Diceros bicornis minor: one gene and its partner. The protein of the gene in region 1 binds, or shares a complex with, the protein of each later gene. Links are inferred from orthologs where the notes say so. Each region holds a gene or a part of one and is shown in the gene's direction. Other genes may lie near its edges.

Region 1 (7,750 bases):
GTATGGGAGATTGGTGGCTGCTCCAGTGCTAAGAGCCAAAATAGACTGAAATTAACCACAAATCATTGGGTAGACTTTAGAGCTCCTAAATGATTACATCAGACAGATTCTGCCAGTACAATTGCTGTCTAGGCAGGGAGAAGGATTCCTGGTCCTTAATACTCTGTCATCTTTCTAGAATTCTCTCTCTGATTCAATTAATTTTTTGGGAGGGGTCTCTATTATGAACCAGGCACTGTTTTGTGCACTGCAAATAGACAGGTGAGAAAGACAGACAAGAATCTCTGCTCTCATGGAGCTTATATACTCTAGTAGAGGAGCCAAACAATAGAAAAACTAAATAAATATATAATGTAATTTCATGTAATGAAAAGTGCTATGAAAAAATATTTGAGTATCTGTAGCAGACACTGTAGTTGCCCCATTCATGTCCCATCAGCGTTTAACATTCTCATGCAAGCTGGCCAGATTTATAGCTGCCAGTACCTGCAAGTGTTTGCATGAGGGCTCTCTCTGGCTCCTGGAGCCTTCTCTGCCTGGGTCAGGGCAGGTTGGGAGCACCAGAGAATTAGGGCTTTCCCACAGAGCACACCTCAACTGATAGCTGATGTGAGTTGTGGATAAGAATCTACGCCCCCTCCCCTCGGGCAGACAACTCTGAGGCATGTTCTATGCTGGCTTCCAGAGTTCCTCAGTGTATTGAGCTCCAATTGTCCACAGCAGTACCTTGTTTTATCACACATCTTTTAGGGGCTTCTTCCTGCCCCTGCTTCCCCACAAGTGTTTCCTGAATCACCTCCCAAGTAAATTACTTGCACTTGAATCCTTGTCTCAGGGTCCATTTATAGGGGAACCCAAGCTAAGATTTTATCAAGAATTGGGGTGGGGGGCTGGATGGGAGGGAGTGGCTGGAAGCCTGTAGATAGGTGCCCACCTGTGTTCATCTGGTCAGGTGCACACCTATTGGTGGATCATTGAGAAAGACTCTGTGGGTTGGATAGCCATTCTGAGATTTTGCCTGTGCCTTTACAGACAGTGGGCCCTTGGCTACTGTTTGAGGCAAGGAGGGGCCCCGATATCTGAGTTCTAGCTGCTTCCTGTGGTGGTCAGAGTGTGAAAGCTTTTACCAAAACAACCCAGCTTATCCATTAAATTACTCCCCCACACCCCGATGGTATCTTTTCATCCTCTCATCCTCAGCCTTCTTCCTCTTTCCTCAGCCCTTTTTTTTTGCTGTCAAGTGTAGGCACTTTGTTGTTTTAAGCTATTTATTGGTGTTTTTCTTTTCTTTCTGATTATAAAAGTCATTCAAATTTTTTGTATAAAAGTTTTAAATACAAAAAATATATAGAAGAAAATTAAAATCGTCCTGTGGCAGCTTCAAGTTGACCACAAATTCTTTGACACACCTCCCATTGAGAGGTAGGATCTATGTCCCCTCTCCTTGAATATGGACAAGCTCTGCCACTGCTGGACCAAGAGAATATGGTGGAAGTGACTCTGTGACAGTTTCCAGATCAAAACCTTAAGAGACTGGAAACTCTCAATTCTTGTCTCTGGGAACACTTCCTCTTGATATCTAACCACGCTGATGTGAGAAGCCCAGGTCACATAGAGAGGCCACAGGTAGCTACTCCAGTTGACAGCCCCAACCGAGCTCCCTGCCTGCAGCCAGCGTCAACTGCCTGCCATGTGAGTGATCCATTTTGAAAGTCCAGCCCAACTGGGCCTTGGGTGAGTCCATCCCCAGTCACGATCTGACTGCAACCAAATGAGATCCCCCAGTGAGTACTGCTGAGGCTGGACAACCCACAGGACCATGAGACAATAATAGTTGCTGTTTTAAGTCACTAAGATTTGGAGCGGTTGGCTGTGAGGCCATAGATGACTGGAACACACCCATAATCCTATCATCCGGAGATAACCACTATTAACATTTTGGTTTTCCTACCCACGCATATGTTTAAACAGGTCATTTTAAAATAAAATGTGCAGAATTTTTATGGAATTTTTTCAGAGAGCAAACATTTATTTGCTCTGGTTATTAAGAAAGTAGAACTAGGAGCAAGAGAAAATGTGTTGGAGATAGAGTGAAAAAATCATTGGCTTGGGGATCGCATTAGCAGTCCCACTCAAGGTACGGTTTGGTGTTCTCTATATTTCATGAAAGTGTGCTCCGTGTCTTTGAAAACAGGTTTAGAAGTGACTAGACACGATGGAATATAAGGATGTATCCCAGAGTGGACATCACTCAACCATTCCTCTGTTGGATATTCAGGCTGTTCTAGTTTTTCACCATTGAAAACAATGCCGCAATGAACAATCTCGTACATACATCTTTGTACTCAGCTATTACTTAGGATAAATTCTTGGAAGTGAGAATTCCTGGGTGAAGGGTTTGAGGCTTTTTTTTTTTTAAAAAGCAAAACAATACTCAAAAAGCACCAGGTTTCTCTGTACCTGAGTTGTCCTTATTGACCGCTACGAAGGAGGCCAGGTCTGGCTAAAGGGTGCTCCTGTTTCCCTGGGCAGGAGGGAAGGACATTTTGCAAAGTACACTTTCAGGGGCACACAGGCTGTGACCTCCCACACTTGCTTGATTTGTATTGATGTTTAGAACACACCTTCCAGGAGGCAGGCCCTCCGTCTATTCGGCTTGCCTTTCATAGTGCTTTGGCCAACCTAGCAGCAGGTGGGCAAACAAAGAACACCTTTGGGATAGTGACCTTGATGGTTTGGGCAGGAAGCTGGGTAGGGAGGGAGCACAGGCTCGTGTAGCCCCAAGAGGAAGGTCAAGCAGGGCTGTGTGCTCACTGAGCCCCCGCCCTCTTCCTTTGGGTTGCTTACAGACTTCTGCCTCCTACTTCTCTTTTTCTGGCCTTTTTGGCTTTGGTGGCTTCCTTCAAGTGGCTCTGTGGTGTGTGCAGCCTCCTGGTTCTGCTCCCTCCAGCCATGACTCACAGAGTCCTTCTGTTAACAGGTGCGCCAGGGCTCTGGGCGGGCCCTCAGGGTGAGGAGAAGGGGAACTTTGGAGTCTGTGATTGCAGAGAAAGGGTGCAGAATATCTAGGATTTAGACTAGGGGATTTGGGGAAGGACAAGAGATTCAAGAGGAAGCAGAGAGTAGAGCCTGACCAAGGTGGGATGACCAGAGAAGCTCGGACGAATGACAAGGGGGGTTCGGCTAGCCCTTTTACTTTGCAGGTGAGGAAACTGAGGCCCAGAGAGGTGAAATGACATGCCCAAGGGTGCTCAGCAGGTACTAGATTCTCTTCTCAGGGTGTTTCTTCTTGGATTCCACCTCACCACCTCCACTTTGCCTCCAGTTCTATTTTCCAAGGACCCAGGTGTAAATGTTTGTTGAATGACTGACTGATCAAAATCCTTTTATGCCTGTGTTTTGTGGTGAATGAGCCAAAGAGGGGAAAGAAATGCTTGCGAGTTGCATAGGATGGAAATTGCCTAACTGAGAGTCTTTGGGAACTTGATTGTCGGACAAATCAGCAAAGTAAGAACACAGGGTGGAGCTCAGAGAGGGGCTGAATGCACCCCACGATGGTGGTCCTTAGGCTAGAGGTTAGCATACCGGCCTTGGGCTAAGGCAAGGATTCCACCACCTGTTTGACCTATGTGAGCCAGAGGTCGTAGATGAGCGTTTATAATTGATTCATGATAGGGAACACTAACTTTGAATCCCAATGATGTGAAATGTTATCTTCCCCAAAGAAGTCCATTTGTCTCCTTAGTAAATTTGTATTACAAAAAAATTATACACAATTATTATATTTTGAATTTTCTTAATGAAAAATTTGTGGAGGTGCATTTTCTCTTTTGTTATATAAGTGCCTGCACGTAATATACTCTATTTGCCTCTTGGCCCATAAAGCCTAAAATATTTACTATCTGGCCCTCTATGGAAAAAGCATGCTGACCTCTGCCCCAGGCTATCAGAGCTGGACCTGGGAGGCAGACATCTCGGTGCTGGGTTAGGGTGAATCCTGGCAGGAAGATGCAGGCACAGGAGGGCAAGCTGCTTTTTCTTTTTTTTTTTTTTGTGAGGAAGATCAGCCCTGAGCTAGCATCCATGCTAATCCTCCTCTTTTTGCTGAGGAAGACCGGCTCTGAGCTAACATCTATTGCCAATCCTCCTCCTTTTTTTTCCCCCCAAAGCCCCAGTAGATAGTCGTATGTCATAGTTGCACATCCTTCTAGTTGCTGTGTGTGGGACTCGGCCTCAGCATGGCCGGACAAGCGGTGCCTCTGTCTGCACCCGGGATCCGAATGGGGGCCGCCAGTAGCAGAGCGCCCGCACTTATCTGCTAAGCCACGGCCGGGCCCAAGCTGCTTTCTTAACCATCTCCTTATCTCCACCTGACCCTCACTCCCTTGTTCTCCCTCAGCCTTGGCCTTATGTCATGGGTTCAACCTGGACACTGAAAACGCAATGATCTTCCAAGAGAACGCAAGGGGCTTCGGGCAGACCGTGGTCCAGCTAGAGGGATCCCGGTAAGGGCTCAGGTGGAGAGCCGGGTCTCATCCGCTCTTCCTCCAAAACTTGTATTTCTGGAAAAAAAAAGTCGCAATTTCCTTGATTTGTCTTTTTCTTGATTTATTTTTTGAATAGGTAATACAGTTATAGGGTTCAAAAGATACAAAAGAGTGTAATAGTACAAAGTGTCCTCCGCACGCCCCTCCCCACAGTTCCCTCCCCGGGGTGGGGGGCGGGGGTCTGGTACCTGGTGTCTTGTGTGTTCTTCCCAAGAGATTCTCCGCTATATACCCCTCCGCATTCCCCTGACCCCATCCTGCACACAATTTGTAGCACGCATTATACTCAAACCACCGCCGGCTGCCTATTTTTATAATGCATTTTATTGACCTCCCCGCACCTCCCGCCCCCGCCATCGTCATTTATCATTTATGGCGGCTTTGGAGCCAAAATGGCAGAATCCAGAGGCTGCGGCAGAGACTACACAGCCTGCAAAGCCTTTACGGAAATAATATTACCTTTCCAGAAAATGTTTGCTGGCCTCTGCTCTACACTGTCTTTTGCATTTTTTTTTCTTAATAGAGCTCGGTGATTTTACCAGATAAGCTTATAAAGAGCTTACTCATTCTTTTTGATGCTTGGATCATATTCTGTTGTTTGGAGGTACCATAATTTACGTTTCTATTACATTTAAATCTCTTCTTAATGGACATTAGGTTGTTTCCAAACTTTTGCTAAACAAACAGTGCTGTCTTTTTTCTTATGTGCAAGGATATTTGGAAGTAAATTCCTAGAACTAGGATTGCTGGATCAAAGGGTACAAATGCATATGTGATTTTAATAGATTTTTCCAGATTACTCTTTATAGAGGTGGCAACAATTTACACTTATACCAGAAATGGACACACCTACTTCTGCACCCATTTGCCTACCCAATGTGTTATCAAACTTATTGATCTTTGCAAACTGAATAGGTGAGAAATGGTATCTCAATTTTGTTTTATTTTATTATTATTTATTTATTTTTTTGTGAGGAAGATCAACCCTGAGCTAACATCCATGCCAATCTTCCTCTTTTTGCTGAGGAAGACCAGCTCTGAGCTAACGTCTATTGCCAATCTTCCTCCTTTTTTTTTTTTTAAGATTTTATTTATTTATTTTTCCCCCCCAAAGCCCCAGTAGATAGTTGTATGTCATAGATGCGCATCCTTCTAGTTGCTGTATGTGGGACGCGGCCTCAGCATGGCCAGAGAAGCGATGCGTTGGTGCGCGCCCGGGATCCGAACCCGGGCCGCCAGTAGCGGAGCACGCGCACTTAACCGCTAAGCCAGGGGGTTGGCCCCTCAATTTTGTTTTAAATTGCACTTTTCAAAAATGAGAGACAGGGCCGGCCAGTTGGCATAGCGGTTAAGTTCATGTGCTCTGCTTCGGTGTCCCGGGGTTCACAAGGTTTGGATCCCGGGTGCGGACTGATGCACCGCTTATCATAAAGCCATGCTGTGGCGGCGTCCCATATAAAGTAGAGGACGATGGACACGGATGTTAGCCCAGGGCCAATCTTCCTTACACACACACAAAAAAATGAGAGATGTATTTCCTTTTCTGTGAACACTTTTTTCTTATCTGTTGCCCATTTTTCTGTTGGGTTATTGTTTTGTTTTTGTTATTGGTTTGTGGGAGCTCTGACTACATGGAGGAAAGGGGCTGGGGTACGAGGTGCTCATCTCCCTCCCCCCACTTGACTCTTTGACTTTTGACTTTACTTAGGATAGTTGATCCCATGCAGAAATTTATTTAAAATGACTGTGTGGTTGAATTTATTCACTTTTTAATGACGTCTGGGTTTTGTATCATTCTTAGAGAGGCCCTTCCCCCTCCATGATTTAGAATTTTCACATTTTTTTCTTTGCTGAGTCTTCCTCCTATTTCTGGGAATTGGAGAATCTTGTAAGGGTTGGCTCCCCCACTTTCTTCTGGGTGGGCAGAACTTCCATGGTCTTCTCTCCCGACAAGTTAGAGTTGTCTTTTGTCCCAGTGGTGATCTGTTCCCACCTCTCCCCCCAGGGTGGTGGTTGGAGCCCCCCAGGAGATAAAGGCTGCCAACCAAACAGGTGGCCTCTACCAGTGTGACTACAGCACGGGCAGGTGTGAGCCCATCCGCCTGCAGGGTGAGTCGCTGCCCCTCCCTGGGACCCAGGGCTTGGGTTCCACCTGTGCGTACACCTGGACTCCACAGGCATTCCCTCTGTTCTGGAGGTCTGTTCAAGGGGGTCTGTGGTGGGGGGCCCAGGGGTCCAGCTCCCCAGCCTCTGTGCTATATGCAGACTCTACCTCAGACACCCTCAGACACCCCCTCCATGTTCCTTCCCCACGACCTAGGTGCCCCCTTGACCTGTCAGACCTCCGTGTCTCCCAGGTCACGGTGACCCCTGTCCAGCTCTTACATAGTCCCTTTCAGCCCCCTGAGGGTGACCATGTATATATCTGTCCTCAGTCCCCCCGGAGTCTGTGAACATGTCCCTGGGCCTGTCTTTGGCGTTCGCTACCAACCCTTTTCGGCTGCTGGTGAGTTGCCCTGGGTCTCGGGAGGGAAGGAGTCCTGAGGGAAGGAGTTGGGGATCCAAGGCTGCCGGGGCTGGGTTCTTGTGGAGGGTGGAGATGCTGAGGTGAGTGGACAGGAAGCAGGGACAGGCCCTGCCACCTGTACCCTGCCCCCCAGGCCTGCGGCCCCACCGTGCACCAAACCTGCAAAGAGAACACCTATGTGAATGGCTTCTGCTTCCTGTTTGGAGCCAACCTATTGCAGCAGCCCCAGAGGTTCCCAGAGACCCTCAGAGGTAGGTCACCTTTGGAAGAGGGTACAGATGGGCAGCATGAGGGTGGGGGCAGGTCTTGGCTGGGGACTGCTCATGGTCTAGGGGGTGACTTAGAGGTCTAGGTGTGGGTGGATGAGGGAACTGGTTCCAATAGAGAGAGAGGCTGGAGGAGGGAGATGCTAGGGTCTTGCACTTTAAGAAAAGTCCTGATACAGCCATTCATCTTTGTGAGATGATGTCCCAACCATTGTCCTTAGAGTAAGTGCCTGAGTGTCCTGACCATAGCCTTTGAGGCTCTAGATGGTGTGGCCACTGTCCACCTCTCCAACTTCTTACCCATCCCTCTACTTCAGTCACTGTGCTCCAGCCACTCTGGCTGCCCTTCTTCTCCAACAACCACAACAAGCTGTCCTTGCCTCAGGGGCTTTGCACTTACTGTTCCTTCA
Region 2 (7,750 bases), on another chromosome or scaffold:
AGGTTCCTTCACATTTTTAAGCTTCATGCTGATCACACTTCTCCTTGTATGTGTCACTGCAAAATCAGCGACCTCATTTTCGACACACCCTCAGGACATGTTATAATTTGTATGATTTCAAATCATCTTGCGTTAGTTATATTTTAGCCTGGTGGCACTCTTGTAGGGGGCTCATTAATTACACCTGGAGAGGCTGGAAACTAGCAGAGACGATGAGCATTAGCAAGCGGAAGTAACTGCTGCTGGAAGCTGGGGGCCAGAGCAAGTGTAAAGGGCAGCTTTGGAGTTAGTTACGTTTCACAAGAAACAGGGGCAAGGGGAAGAAGTTTGGAGTGGATTATTGCAGTAGCCTCCTAACTAGGATCTCTGCTTCCTTTCTTGCCCTCGTGTGGTCTATTCAACAACAGAGACCCTATTAAACCAGAGTCAGCTTTTGTCACTCTTACTGGCTGTCCACCTCATTCCCCGTAAGAGTAGAATTCCTTACATTAGATAAAGGCCAGGCATGATCTGACCCATTGTTACCTGCCTGGGCTGGACGTCCATCTCCACTCACTAAGTTCCCACCACAGTGGCCTCCTTACTCGTCCCATAACACCTCTGGCAAGGTCAGAGCTCAGACCTTTGCATTTCCTGATCCCTTTGCCTGGAGACTCTTCTTCTAAGTGTTTACTTGGCCAGCTCCCTCAACTCTTCTAAGTCTTCACTGAAAATTCACCCAAGGGACACTTTCCTCCCCCAAATTGGCACTTTTATCTTCTTTCATTGTCTTATTTTTTCCCGTGGCACTTATCACATCTTTTAAAAATTTAATCAGTCATGAATTAATTAGTTTTGGTTGCTTGTTTATCTACATAAACTAAACTGTAAGCTATATGAGAGGAGGGATTTTCATCTGCTTTTGTTCATGGCTCTATTCACTCAAAAGCTTAAGTGCTCAAAGAATGTGGAATGAACGAAATGGCTTGAAATCTTGGATTAACAGACCCATGACTATGCCATAAGATCAAGTTTGGATTTGAAGTTGAACATTTCGGAGGGCATTAGAAAATATTTCTCCTGAAACTTTAGTGTAAAGGTGGGTTGAGTTAAATTATGACTTATCTGAACCTCATAGATTTCTATTTCTTAAAAAAAAAAACTCTTTTGGGGCCAGCCTGGTGGCGTAGTGGTTAAGTTCGTGCACTCCACTTCAGCAGCAGGGGTTTCACAGGTTTGGATCCTGGTCCCGGACCTACGCATCGCTTGTCAAGCCATGCTGTGGGGGCGTCTCATATAAAGTAGAGGAAGATGGCCACAGATGTTAGCCCAGGGCCAATCTTCCTCAGCAAAAAGAGGAGGATTGGCAATGGATGTTAGCTCGGGGCTAATCTTCTTCACCAAAAAAAAAAAAAACCTCCTTAATCTTCCTTTATATTTTTAAAATACAATGGTTAATAATGTTAGTCAGAGTTTCTCAATCTCAGCCCTATTAACATTTGGGGCTAAATAATTCTCTGTTGTGGGGGCCATCCTGTGCATTGAGGATGTTTAGCAGCATCCCTGGCCTCTACCCACTAGATGCCATTAGCAACCACCTCCCCCAAGCTGCGACAACCAAAAATGTCCCCAGTCATTGTCAAATGTCCCCTGGAGGGCAAAATTGCTCTTGGTTGAGAATCACTGATGTAAATAATTTCATATATTCTTATTTGAATGAGGGGTCATATTTTTGATATGACACATGAAATGGAGTGGAAATCATGGGGATCTCACGCTTACTATATCAACCCTATAGATAAGCACCACCACAACAGGGAGCAACATGGTATATTCATAGATGTTAAAATAAAGTTTAGGAAGAAATAGAAAATGGACAACCACTTGCTTAGTGGCCTGGAAACTCTATCCCCCTGGAGTAATAGTGAATGTTGAGAAGTCTCTTTCAATAAAGGGCCTAGGAAAAATAATAATAAAAAAAGATAGTGTGCATTCCTCCACAATTTCTGCAGGTGAAGTCAGATTGAATAATACAAACATTGCTTGCATCCCTGGGACGATGGAATCACAGGCGGGAGACAGGCAACCGGAAGTCTGTGTATAGAAGGAAGACAGTTGGTTCCTTACTCATTTATTCCACTTGAGGCTGGTGTGTGGCATGTGGATGGAGAGTGTGCTTATGGGGATAGACCGGAGGTGTGTATGTGAATTTCTGATGCCTCTCCTTTTGAAAAATTTGATTGATTGATTGATTGATTGATTAAAAGCTCTACTTGTAGAGATACCTCTTTGTCCCCAGCCCTCACTTCTAGGGGACATTTGCCCAGGTAGCAGTCAACATAAGAGCCCAAAGTCCCTGAGAACTACTTGTCACAAAACAAGGCTTTTAATTTCGAGATTTAAGTATGGTTCTAAGCAAATGTAAATTTATATAAGGCACTTAATAGATGTTTATGAAGTTGAATTGAAGGGATGTAGCCTCAGAACTACAGGGAATGGAAGTAAATTTTGCAACCATATTTGGGGTGGACCTCATCAAATGATAAGCTGGAAGGAACAAAAAGGAGCAAGACGAGGAGCAGGAAAGAACTGATGAGTGGAGAAAAATCTCAAAATTTACTTTTTGAGAATGTTTGGGTTAATTTGTTTTGTACTGAACGATTTTACATAATACTTTTGTCTCATATATATCATAAATATTCATCTATGCATTACTGAAACAGTCCTAGATATATTACCTTAGCATCTTTTCTCAATTGAACAAAATGGAAATTCCAGAAAGCCATGAAGCCCACCCTCCAAGTTTTACAAATCCCACAGTTTGAGCTACATTGATTAATCCCCTAAATTCTTGGGTGTCAAAGGCATGTCACTAAAGGCACCAAGGAAGCCAAAAAAGGAAAGAGCCCCCTAAAGGAAAATGGCATTTAATTGGGAACTTTCAGACATCTGTCACTCTGTGACAAGCGCAAAAAAGTACTTTGCACATTTTGTGAGGCACAGGTGGGATGGGACTGACAGTTGAAGTAACAAGCTGTGTGTAGGGAGGGCATTTGGGGGTGGGAGGAGAAAGAGGCTGGTTTTGAAGACTGTGCTTTTTCATCCCAAATGTCATTTAAAAAAATTGTCTGGGGTCAACACTGTAACCTAAAATGCCATGAATTGTCCATTTAAGATGTCCTACTTGATAAACTGGGGAATGAGCCCGTCTAAAAAACAGGTCATGCATAAAGTTTGGAAAAGAAAGATCATGTCGCGCTCTCTGCTAAAAACAACACAGTGTTCCATCTCCTGGCCTCTTGGTTCAAACCCGTGTGCTAGCTCCTGTGGGGAGAGACTGCCCCCGGAGAATTCTTCTTTTAATAAGCTTCCCAATCAGCTCGCGAGGGAAAGGCGCGCTCCCTCCCTCGCCCTGCCTGCGTCCTCTCCTTGCCCGCTCCCCTCATCCCTCCCATTCTCCATTTCCCTTCCTTTCCCTCCCTGTCAGGGCGTAATTGAGTCCAAGGCAGGATCAGATTCCCCGCCTTCCAGTCCAAAAATCCCGCCAAGGGAACCGCAGAGCAGAGGAAAATCCAGAGGGGAGAGAGAGGAAGAAAGAGACCAGTGAGTCACCGTCCAGGAGGGAGAGAGCAGACGCCGCGCAACGAGCAGCAGCGACTCGGGTACCTGGAGCAGACCACCTCGCCCCGTTCAACAAAGGCAGCCGGAGCGCCCAGAGCACATTTGCAACTCAAAGTAAGTGAAAAGGACTGCGCGATTCTCCGAGGTGTCTCCAATCGAGTTTCCCTTCACCTTCTGCCACTTTTCTGGGTGCCAGCAGATGCTGATGGTAGGAGTGAGAGAGAGGCTGCCTTGGTGTCTTTGCTGGTGGGGCTGCTTTCAAGGCTGATCGGCTCCAGAGGCAAACTGAGGCGTGTTTTGGGGGAGTCAGGTCAGGGTAGTGCGGGTGCCCTTAGATGAGTGGAAGGAAAGGAGCTTTTGTGATGCTATGCATGCATTTGGATAGTGTTCCTGCTACCAGCTGGAGAACGTGCAGGGGGTTTGCTCATTGTAAACCTGCTTTAGTAGGTGTGTCTGTGGCTGGGTAGAGAAGAGAGAGAAAGTAAGGCAGCCTGAGCAAGCGGGGCTCATTTCCCATCCTTTCTCTGCCTCTGCGATTTCCCCAGGGCCTGCCAGTTGATGACTCTTAGCTGGCATTTCTAGGTAAGATGTGGGGGTTGTTCTTCCCAGTACCAGCACACATAGAGCATCTCTCACAGAGCATCTAGCAATCCTTGTGCTGCCTGCCAGCCCAAGAATGGTCTAGAAATGATTAAAGTCCAAAGTTTAAAAGGCACACTTTAAACCCCCTCTCTCATTTGAATGCTAATTTTAATAACTGCCCTGTCCCCAGCACTTGAACTTTTTATTTCACCCACATAAAGCTAGAGTATATTTATTACTTATTTGCCAGATACTCAGTTTCTGAGTTGATGTTTCTAAGTTAAAATATTTTTAAAACGAGGAATGTATTCAACTCCCTTCCCTACTTGACACACAGAACATAAACTTCCTCTCTGTTTACCACACACACACACACACACACACACACACACACACCTTTCTCCTTAACACAGCACTCACACACACATACACAAGAACACAAGAACACACATTGAGTTTATATACACTGTTGTTAACTCACCCCTATCTGTGTTAACAGCTGCTTTTTAAGTTTGGGGATGCATTGAAAAAATAGGAGTGGCATGTGGCGGGGAGGGGTGGTGATGAAAGGGGAGAATGAAAAGTGTGGCGGACAAAGTTCCAGTCTTTTAGCATCTTTCATCTTAGTAGGCATTTTGCTTTAGCAGCTTGGAAGGGTGACGTGTGTGAGTGTGCATCTGTGTGTGTGTGTGTGTGTGTGTGTGTGTGTGTGTGTGTGTGTGTATTGGAGGGAAGGGCCTGGGAGGAGATTCAGGACCTGCCAAGAAGAGCCTTGGAACTAATAACAGAATGAAGCAATTTCATGATCCCAGGAAAATGTGGAATTGATGAAACAGTAGAGCCCATTTTAGCCCCTTGATCATCTGGGGATGAATTAATATGTGCAAATATTACAAAGTAATGGGAGTGAAACAAAAGCAGAGAAAATAAAGCTTGTATTTTCCATCTTCATTATGCTCCTTTTTAAGTAAATTACGTACTTTAAAGCCCAAATCATTAAAAGAACATTTATAGTCCAGTTAAATTCAAAGAAAACCAGAGTGGATATTATCTTTTTTCTCCCCTTCGGGACATGAATAATTTCAGAGTGGCAGTATTTGTACTTTCTCATTTAAACTAGAGGATGAGATTTTTTATTATTTTATTTTTAAAAAATGCAAATGGCATTATCCTGTGCTTTAAGAAACTTTTGCGCTTTGAGTGACTAATTGTCCTTTAAATCTTGAGAAGGGGATCCTTCCTCTCCTGCTGTCCCCAGGCCCCCTTTAGGACATTTTGCTCCTCATTTAGGGAAAGGCCTCCATAAGGAATACCTACCTAATGCGGTACAAAACCGCGTGAGGTGCTGTGTTCCAGTTGTTCACGTGTGGGTACAGTTTACAAAATAAAATACAATATATTTTCAAAGCTACAGCTGAGAGAGAAATGAAACTACTGTTAATATATAACCTTTTATTACCTGACTTTTAAATGAGGTATTATATAGAATGATAATAGTATATAACAGTATAAATAGTACAATATAGTATATATACTGTATAATAATATATAATAATATGTAATTCTGTGGTTGCCATGATATTTGGAATGATAAATTTACTAATTTGTTGAAAGTTTCCATGTACTTTACTTGGTATAGCAACATGTAGGAGGGCCTACATTTTTTTTTTAATGGGCATTTTTTTTTTGTTTACTCCAATAAAGCCAATGGCCTGTTTAAATTTTCACAAAGCCTGATCATTGGAAATAACCTGAGAGAAATAAGGTCCCCAAATAGTTTAATTGTTTTTATAAATAAAATCAATCTTAGAAATCAAATATTTTAAATTTAAATGTTTTATTTTCCCTTTGAAGATAACTGTTGCTTTCTCATTTAAATGACATTCTCACATGAATTCTGATCATATTCCTATTTGCCATGTGGTGTTTTTATTACTATTCAAAATTTTCACAAGAGACCGAGTTTAGTTGCTTGTTCAGAATGGTGTAGTAAGTTAACGGTAGATGGAAGGCCAGAAGTCAGAATTCAGAATATAAATTCCAGTTCTCCAAAGACTTATGCTTTGTTTTTCTTTTCTTTTCCTTTTTTTTTGGTAAGAAAGACTGGCTCTGAGCTAACATCTGTTGACAATCTTCCTCTTTTCGCTTGAGGAAGATCGTCCCTGAGCTAGCATCTTGTGCCAATCTTCTATTTTGTATATGGGACACCAACGCAGCATGGCTTGATGAGTGGTGCATAGGTCCGCGCCCAGGATCCTAACCTGTGAACCCTGGGCCGCCGAAGTGGAGTGTGCTAACTCAACCAATATGCCCCCAGGCTGGCCCCAAGACATGCTTTTTAACATGGCGGCACAGTGATGAGGGAAGTTGTTCTTGACTTCCCTCCTGAAGGTAGTGTCCAAATTGAGACCACCCAGGGTGATCAGAGAACAAACACCTTCTACACCTGGGTGTGCCTCAGCCCCGTTGACGGTGTGGTTTCCTCTGGGGCATCAGGCTGCGTCAGGGCTCTCCCACTGCCCTGTTCCATTGCTTGGATGCTGAGTGGGGCTTCTCTATAAGGGTGAAGAATGTTGTCTGTTCTAATGAATAATCAGAAGAACTTTTGTCTCCTCTTGGCACAAGGCCATGTCATCGCCCTGAGGTAAAATAATATTCTGATACGGACCTTGTTTTTAGGAGCTGAGTCTGCTTTTTTTCATCCAGAGTCAATTGGCTTGAGTGAAATATGGGCCATGGCCTCACTTCGGAAAGTTGTTCTCCATTCTTGCTGTTTGTGGCCAATTCAAGTTTCCATCCACTGGGCCATTTTTCCACGCACTTCATGCCAGTCATCTATGTGGCATAGTTTTCACAGTGTCGTACGGTCTTTCTAGATTATCCAATATAACAAGCCTCTTGTTCCTCCCTATTTTAGTATTTGGTAAATAAGAAGTTAAAATTTCTGTGGTTTAAAAGTGTAGCTATAATGTAACATTATCAGAGGGCATTATAATTATGGTAATATTATGGATTTGATTATGTAGATCACATTCACCACAAATCCCTATTTCTTAAGGTTAGGCTTAAGGGTAGGCAAAGAAGGAATACAGTGAATAGTTCATGCCTGAGATAGATATTTTGAGAAATAAATTTTAATTTCTTCTACTGGGCTTTATTTTGGAGCCATTTCTTCACAGTAGATTTAGATAAAGTTTCATTTTAAATAAAAAAGATCCTCATAGTGAGTTTCCTAAAAGAATTCTAGATTCTTAAACTTCATGCTCAGTGAAAAAAAAAAATCTCTTGCTGTATATTAATCTTAAAAGAAGTGAGTCCTAGTAACTGACACAGGCTCTTGATTCTAAGAATTGTGCTTAGCAAAAATCAACACATCATTTTAAAACACAAATAGCGTGCTGTATCTCTAACTTTTTGTTCCCACTTCTTCCAAATTTTACACTCACCTGTTCCCCCTCCTCTTGCTCTCATTTCTTCCTTTTATTGATTCAGTTGCCATTGTTTCTTGCCATCCAAGAGGTCCCATGATGTCTTGCCCAATTCCTTCCCCATATCTGTGATGTCATAT

What was found.
Region 2: the proteins of ITGAM (region 1) and PTN are in contact, whole or in part, in an NMR structure (PDB 8VOH), measured with the Homo sapiens proteins. The link is inferred for Diceros bicornis minor from reciprocal best matches to the Homo sapiens genes ITGAM and PTN. Residues at the interface, in NP_000623.2 of Homo sapiens: Pro273, Asp276, Arg277, Gly279, Val280, Ile281, Arg282, Tyr283, Lys306, Pro307, Arg309, Asp310, His311, Ala334, Ile335, Glu336, Gly337, Thr338, Gln339; in NP_001308315.1 of Homo sapiens: Val56, Pro57, Thr58, Ser59, Asp61, Cys62, Gly63, Leu64, Thr66, Glu68, Thr79, Lys81, Thr82, Gln83, Arg84.

Annotation. Positions count from the first base shown.
Region 1 is NC_080765.1:20,817,474-20,825,223, reverse strand, and holds the start of ITGAM (integrin alpha-M), read left to right. Parts: upstream 1-2,867; 5' UTR 2,868-2,952; coding exon 2,953-2,980; intron 2,981-3,042; exon of another isoform or gene 3,043-3,258; intron 3,259-4,399; coding exon 4,400-4,505; intron 4,506-6,552; coding exon 6,553-6,656; intron 6,657-6,982; coding exon 6,983-7,053; intron 7,054-7,207; coding exon 7,208-7,325; intron 7,326-7,750.
Region 2 is NC_080742.1:85,496,098-85,503,847, reverse strand, and holds the start of PTN (pleiotrophin), read left to right. Parts: upstream 1-3,451; 5' UTR 3,452-3,714; intron 3,715-7,750.